Tribolium castaneum: one gene and its partner. The protein of the gene in region 1 interacts with the protein of each later gene in a pairwise test. Links are inferred from orthologs where the notes say so. Each region holds a gene or a part of one and is shown in the gene's direction. Other genes may lie near its edges.

Region 1 (3,009 bases):
TCTGTTGTAAGAGCTCGTACTTTTCACGTGGATAAGTGATTAATAATTTATCAATTGAGTTCGATCTTTCGATTTATCAATCAATTCACTTTCCCTCCCTGTCAGCTTTTTCTCAATGTTGGCCATTTTTATGCATTCAATCCGCCCTTTTTCTCATTTGAAATAAACCTCAATTATTCCCGTCCTTGCAAACTCCCGCTCATTTGTCCATTTTCCGTCCCACTGATCCAACTTTGAAGCTCCTCTGCCACTTCCTGTAACCATTTCGTAATCACTTTCTGTTATCACAAACCACCATGTATAGATAGTCCTGGTGAACCAACTTCCCTTATTTTCCATTGTCGGGCGCAAACCAAAATGTGGAGCAAGTTGGAGCTTTTATTTTATCTGACAGATGGCACCAGCGTAGACTGGGACTGTCACAATGTTTACAAGAAAAAAGATACACGCATCACGTTGTTAAAAATATGACATTTATGAAGAACAATTAATACCTGAAGGATGCCCGCACCGAATGGTAGTGGAGTTTTTTTTTCTGGAAAGCATTTATTCTGACTTCAATGTTTCGATGTCTTTCGCGGCCGAAAATGCATCGAACCGAAGTTTAGAACTATTCAGAAAATATTATTATTTCAGCGCGAAAAAAGCAGAAGTTGTTACAAGATGACTAACTTGGGTGCTGAGATAACATTTTTTAATTTCGCATCATTTTTTTATAAAAAACAAAGAAAATTTGTGAAATTGTGACAGTCCCAGTCTACCGTGCTGCCATCTATCAACTTGCTCCAGCGTTAGAATCAATTATAATAGCGAGTTGGTTTACCTGTCTGTCTCTATATCGTGTCACAAACACAGCGTTTTTGTCGGAGACAAGCGTCAATTGATTTTTTAGGTTAGATTTTGCAGCGCCATCTTATGAAAGTGTGATTTGAACTAATATTCAAAAGAGAGAATTTTATTTTATTTCTATTTTTGTTATTTTTCAAAAATTCTGATGATTTTTTGTTGGATTGGTTAGTAAAGGTCTGTTGCTATTATTAAAGAAAAAAAAAGATTGCCGAAACCCGGGATTGAACCGGGGGACCTTTAGATCTTCAGTCTAACGCTCTCCCAACTGAGCTATTTCGGCATACATAGTAGTTTTTTCTCCAACCACATTTACCATATTTTTTTAATTATTCATAAAACAAACTTTGAACTTATTCTATATCAAAAAAACATTAAAATTCGGATAAGATACAAACATTTATGCCAAGATATAACGGATTATAACAGCTGACTCAGTTACGTATGGATTTTCAATTGTTTTATTTTTTTTGATAACGTTATCTAATTTTTAATTTATTATTAAATGCGCGTAAATAACGCATAAACTCGACATTAGAACAAAACACACAAGTTTTTTTATTGCGGTGCCTTATTTAAATTTTTAATAATTATTCAGTGCGTAATTAAATTATTTGATTTAATTTGGGCAACAGAGCCATAAGTCACGCCAATTACTCGCCAAATAACAATAAAATGTGATTAAAACTTTCCGGGTTTTCCCCAGCAGTGTTTTTGTTATCTGTCTTAATGGCTAAAAATCAGATTTCTCGCCGATAAAAATGAACAACAAAGTAATGCAAACTCATTCCAAGTGTGCACTTTTAAATCCTAGTCAGAATTACTTTAAAATCGATTTTAACAATAATGTCATCAAGTGACCCCACCAGTGCCAACGTCGTAAAATTCGCTTCTTTGGGTACGTCTCTCCCCGAAGCCCCAAAACCCAAAAATAAGCCCTGAATTGAAACCTGCAAAATAGGTTATGTAACCACATTTGCAGATTCTGAAACGCAGGCTCTCTTAAGACAAGCCACCGCCAGTCGTCTTTTTGCGTACTGTCCCTACTCCAAGTTTCAAGTGGGGGCTGCAGTTGCCACCACCACGGGGGCTATTTTCGGGGGATGTAATATTGAAAATTCGGCCTACACTGTGGGGATTTGTGCCGAACGGACGGCTCTAGCCAAGGCCATTAGTGAAGGGTTCCAAAGTTTCAAAGCTGTGGCTGTGATAGGCAACCAAGAAAACGTCTACACCACCCCATGTGGCGCCTGCAGGCAGTTCATGAGCGAATACGGCAACATGAAAATTTTTATTTCGAAGTCGGACCTGGAGCACGTTTTTGTGACCGATTTGGGGCAACTCTTGCCCCACCAGTTCCAGTCACCAACAATTAATCAATAAATTTATTAAAATGTACCAAATCTTTTTAAATTTGTCGGCTGTCAAAAATTTGTTTGCTGACAGGTGACTAACAATTGCGTTATTTTGAAAAATTGTTAATCACAAAAAGTGATTACGTTTGATAAAAAAACGGCCAGACTCATTTGAGGTAAGCTTGCAATATACTTTTATTACAATTGCACGTTTTTAACGCTAAAAATGCTAATTTTTTTGTTTTTTCGTGTTTGATCGTCTTTTGTTGCAAAACTACAGTTTTTTGAAGTTTGCTAAAATGTTCCTTAAAACCTGTAATAATAAAATAGTTTGTGCGAAAATTGATCAGTGGTCACGAAATATTATTTTATTTACGGTAAAATTGTGTTTTTTCGAATTATTTGTGGAAAACGTATTTTTGTTGCCAGGTTGGCAATTCAGTTTGTCAATTATGTCATTTGAAAAAGTTTGATAAAATTTTAAGTGATAAAAAGTCGCTCAAATCGCACGTTTGGTAAGTTTGTATTAATCTTAGTTGTTTATTGCGCTCCTAAACACACACTTGTAATAATTACTTTATTTCAACTAGATTATATAAAAAATAATAAGATACACAACAAAAAACTATCACGGTATTAGATGCAGCAGTCGAGTTACCAAAAGGGGCACCAGCCTATGTAACACTGTGACAAGTTCTCGTTACTTGTCGCTTGTTGTATTAACAGATCGACTTGCTTAGGAATAGTCAAAGGTTCCTCCGTAGCGAAATCGTTCCCGGTCAGTTTATCTCTAACTCGATTGATGATA
Region 2 (4,456 bases), on another chromosome or scaffold:
CACCGCCTGACGGACTTATAAAGCTCTTATAAAACCAAGGAATAAACAAACACATTCCGCAACATATTTTTCAATATCGGTCATTAACTACTGTCACATTTTATCAAATGTGCAATAAAAGGTGAACTTTCCTGCAGATGACTTTTACTTTGTATAAAGACTCAAACCACTAATGGTGGCTGTATTTCTCTTTCAGACACTTCAAAAACAAAAGACAAAAGGTAACTAATTCACATGTTAGGATAATGATAGGTAAGAGAATATAAAACTGTTAGTAAACCAGCAACTTCAGTAAAAGGATAAATAAATGTTAGTAACAAAAGGAAAAGCAAAGTAAAAATTCAAACTTTTAATAGAAAATAAATACAAAAAAATGATAATTATCTAGAGGAAACTACACTAAACTACAATTTGCTTACATCTACTTCCCCGAGGAATGCAACGAGCAGTTGTTGTGGTACACCACGGAAAACAGGCTGTTAGAGCATCGAAATGTTCGTATGTGTCACTAATAACTGCAAATAACCACCACCTTTAGCCAGATTGTCATGCTAGTATTAAGAACAACTACAAGTAATTTGATTACCATGCAAGCATGTGTCGTTATCAATTTATTTACAATGTTGAGAAAACATGATTAGTAATAATAAGGACCAATCATTATCTAAATATTTTTCTGGTAATCAAAAACCAACAAAGTTACAAACATGCCCATCTACTGGTTTATAGAAAAATCGACTTACTAGCATTTGAAACTTCTTTAACATATTGCATGGCAATCCTTTTTAAATAATCAGCGTGCTCCTCCGCCACAAAAAACCCCATAAAATTTGGAGAAGTATACGTTTCTAGTTTTAGGGGCTCGTTCAACATAGCGCCCTGCCTTTCCATTACGGACTTTAGGCTTTGCGCCAGATGTAGGGCGTCTTCATCAGGCGCCTGTTACACATCATTAAACGAATTCAAAATTTATCAAATGAAATACCTTAAAAAACGAAACTAGCGTAATGTGCGGCGTGAAATTGTGGGCCCCGTTCCAGGCGCATTCCCTGTGCGACTTCTCCCAGAAGGTCTGTAACTGTTCCAGGAAAGGTCCCGTGGGACACGCATATAAAATGTACTCCCTTGGAGAGTTATCGTCCAGCAATGGGTCATTTACGTGGGCCAGTAACCAGTCGGAGGCCAACTGCACGCCCCTGTTACCAGTGGCAGCTAAGGCCTTTTCGCTGTGTGTAATTTCAAGTTACCCGAAAGTTTATTATCATTTTGTTTACTCACGCTCTGTGTTTGGGGAACCCCATCTGGAGGAGGATTTGTAGCGGGGTCAGGTGCTGTTTGGATATTTTTGTAGGTGTGGGGTTCCTCCTAGGGGGTAGTGTTGCCATTTTCATTTAATAAATTATTAATTTCAACTAGGTTAAAGTTTGGTGTTGACACTTCTAGTGGACCTTTGACATTTAAACAGTGACGTTTTTGTTTTGGTTTTGTTTGGGGAATTGGCCTTTCAGATGGCGGCACTGGTTGGAACACTGTCAAGTGTTGATGTCTGTCAAAATTTGCCCATTTTCATAAGAAAGTATTAAAGTGTGTTAATTTTTTATTATTTACACGTTATTCGACGATGGCAGGTGTCCTGTTTGAAGATATATTCAACGTGAAAGATATTGATCCTGAGGGAAAGAAATTTGATCGAGGTAAGTGGCTTTTATCGTCTGTTTGTTTGGATGTGTGACCGGCGTTTTTGAGGTTATGTTTTAACGTTTCGTAAAATTGCTCGAAATTGTGTTAAATTTTGAATGTATTTAAAGTTTACATCTTGTCTCATTTACCTCTGAATTTGGAAAGCGTGTGTATGTGGTTATTAATACGATAATACCGTCCTACTCTAAATATTGGTTATACCCCCCCACCTGTGTCCTAGTTGTGGCATCGATTGGTCTTTTTTAATGCATTAAGAATAAAACCAATAAAAACAGGCAGATAGAATAGATTTTTTTTGGTTAGAATTAATTACTTGAAGGACTTATATTAATAGAATTATGCAAAATTAGTCTTACAAAATTTTACTTTTATACTAATAATTTTTTAACGTATTAATTTTTGTTTAATACTTGTGTGGTTTGTAGGTGGTGTGTATGGGTGACATGGGCCGGCCCCCATTTTTGTTAAAACTGTTCGCTGTTTGAATCATTTGTGAAGACTGATGAATTACATGAATTAATTGTAATACAAAAAGCAATAAAATACATATTAAGAAACACGTAGGGGTTTAGAGCATTCTAGCTGGGATAATAAATGGATATATTAATTACACTAGTTTACAATTTTTTTTCTTTTACTAAGAAATCATTTCTACTAGGTAATTTTGTTTTCTACTTACTCACTGATAACAAAAATATACAGGCTATTTGGCAACACAGTATTAAAAAAACATTTAGGGTGTATCAAAATTGGCGAATTCCGAGTTCTGAGCACTGTAGAGAATTGCTTTAGTAGTCCAAACATCGAAAAGAGTTATTAATAATACGGGAGCAAAAACAAAAACTTAAAGTTCGAGAACTTTAAAAGCGTTTTCGCATGAGTGTTATTAAATTTTTTTTTTTGGAATATTTGAACTTAAATGAAAACACGTTGCTATGGGAAAAGCGTTTTAAAATAGTGTTTAAAATCTAGGATTCAGATATTAAAAAGAAGGCTTCAAATGTTACCAACAAAAAAATATTCGGGGCTGCCTCACAAAGATACATTGGTTTGAAGATTACTCTTTGAACTGCGTTTTTTTTAATTCAGCCTATATGTTTCAGTGTTTATTCTTATTTGTGGTGACGATGATTGTGAAGAATAATAACTGTGAACGATTTCTCAAAAAACTAGCTTTATTATTTTATATTTATATTTATTTTTTTATATTATTTTGGAGTTTTTAAAATCTTAATTTTTTTAATTTGCCGTTTTGTTTTTAAGAAAAATTACAAAAATTTAAATTTTTTACTCTAAAATGAAGCTGATTTTTTGAAATATTGTTTTACATTATTATCTTCCACAATCATCTACATCATAAGTAATAAAAATGAAAATAATGAAAAATTTTTAGCCTTCATTTGAAGAAAACGCAATTCAAAGTGAGCTGACGTGCACCTTCAAACCACTGTATCCTTGTGGGGAAGTTCCGAATCTTTATTTTGTTTTTACATTTAGTCTAGTGAAGTGATTCTTTACAACGCTCTGACCTCGGAATTTGTCAATTTTGAAACATCCTGTATGTTACATTTTTCTATCACATCTAGTTTTTTTTTAATGTTCACTAAAAGTTTTGAAAATTGGTTTCTGGTGTCTAATTTAGCATCCGTTGTTTCTGTGATGAACTAATTGTTAAACATTTTATTTGCTTTAAAATATCATTAAGTGAATGTATTAGACTTACCGATACGCATTGGTTTCATCTATTGGCAAAAAACGTTGTAAACTAGTGTTATTAGGAACTGAAATGAATAAAGAGAAGAAATACAAAGTAAAAAATTAAACCGACGTTTAGAAATATTACACTTCGAATTTTCCAAGTTAATACATTTTATTAAGTACTCCTACACATTTCAAAATGATAAAAATGCGATTTATTTTTGTTTCTATCATATTGAAATTAAATTGTTAAAAAGAAAAAGAAAATCAGTTGTTCCAGTAAAAATTAGTTAAAAATATTACAGGTAATAACACTGTAACAAAAAGTGAAAATTTTTGTTTTTATTCTGTATTATTACTATTATTAGTGTTTATTGAAAGCATAGGTCTTTTTGAATAAATTTTTGGTCACAATTTATTTTTAGTGTCGGTCTGCGAAAAAAAAGTGGGGGTTGACAATTTTTGATTTTACTCAAATTTAATAAGATGTTGTGATGTTATCCATGAAAAAGATTAATAATTAGCCACAAAACAACTTGTAACTTGATTAAATGTAACGAAAAGAACACAAATTAGTTATTAATAACAGAAAATTTGGTGGCACAACGCCAGTGGTCCTAAATTATGTTTAAAAAATCTAGTCATACATGCCTGCTTACTGGATGGTTCTAACAGGTGAAAAATGGGGTCTTCACTGTTCAATGTTATAACGAAATATGTCCAATTTTTGTCATTTTGAGAAAAATATAGAAACGTATGCTATAAAGTCCCTCTCTTTCAAATGCAATAATTGTTTTTGCAATAGAGTGGTTTATTTAGATGTTATTAAACAATTTTGTTATAACACCGAAAATTTGTGAACATTTGTTCAGCAGAATAATGAGATAAGTCAGTCAATCGTTTTCTCTCTATAAGTCTACAAATTACTATTAAATGTAAAGTAATATAAAAAACTATAAATTACATCTGACCTTTCATTTTGTGTGTTTTCTATAAATTTAAAGACAGTATTTTTAAAGGAGTGGTTTTTATTAAACAAAAACATTAAAATAGTGGT

The links.
Region 2: the proteins of cytidine deaminase (region 1) and Polr2H interact in a two-hybrid assay, tested with the Caenorhabditis elegans proteins (2 studies listed by BioGRID). The link is inferred for Tribolium castaneum from reciprocal best matches to the Caenorhabditis elegans genes cdd-2 and rpb-8.

Annotation. Positions count from the first base shown.
Region 1 is NC_087399.1:3,313,172-3,316,180, reverse strand, and holds cytidine deaminase, read left to right. Parts: upstream 1-1,435; 5' UTR 1,436-1,692; coding exon 1,693-1,744; intron 1,745-1,828; coding exon 1,829-2,229; 3' UTR 2,230-2,249; downstream 2,250-3,009. Other genes in the region: serine/threonine-protein kinase mTOR, read right to left, coding at 2,856-3,009.
Region 2 is NC_087396.1:10,332,659-10,337,114, reverse strand, and holds the start of Polr2H (DNA-directed RNA polymerases I, II, and III subunit RPABC3), read left to right. Parts: upstream 1-1,558; 5' UTR 1,559-1,621; coding exon 1,622-1,694; intron 1,695-4,456. Other genes in the region: Epp (ecdysteroid-phosphate phosphatase), read right to left, coding at 420-515, 744-939, 986-1,226, 1,279-1,391. UniProt on the Caenorhabditis elegans protein: DNA-dependent RNA polymerase catalyzes the transcription of DNA into RNA using the four ribonucleoside triphosphates as substrates.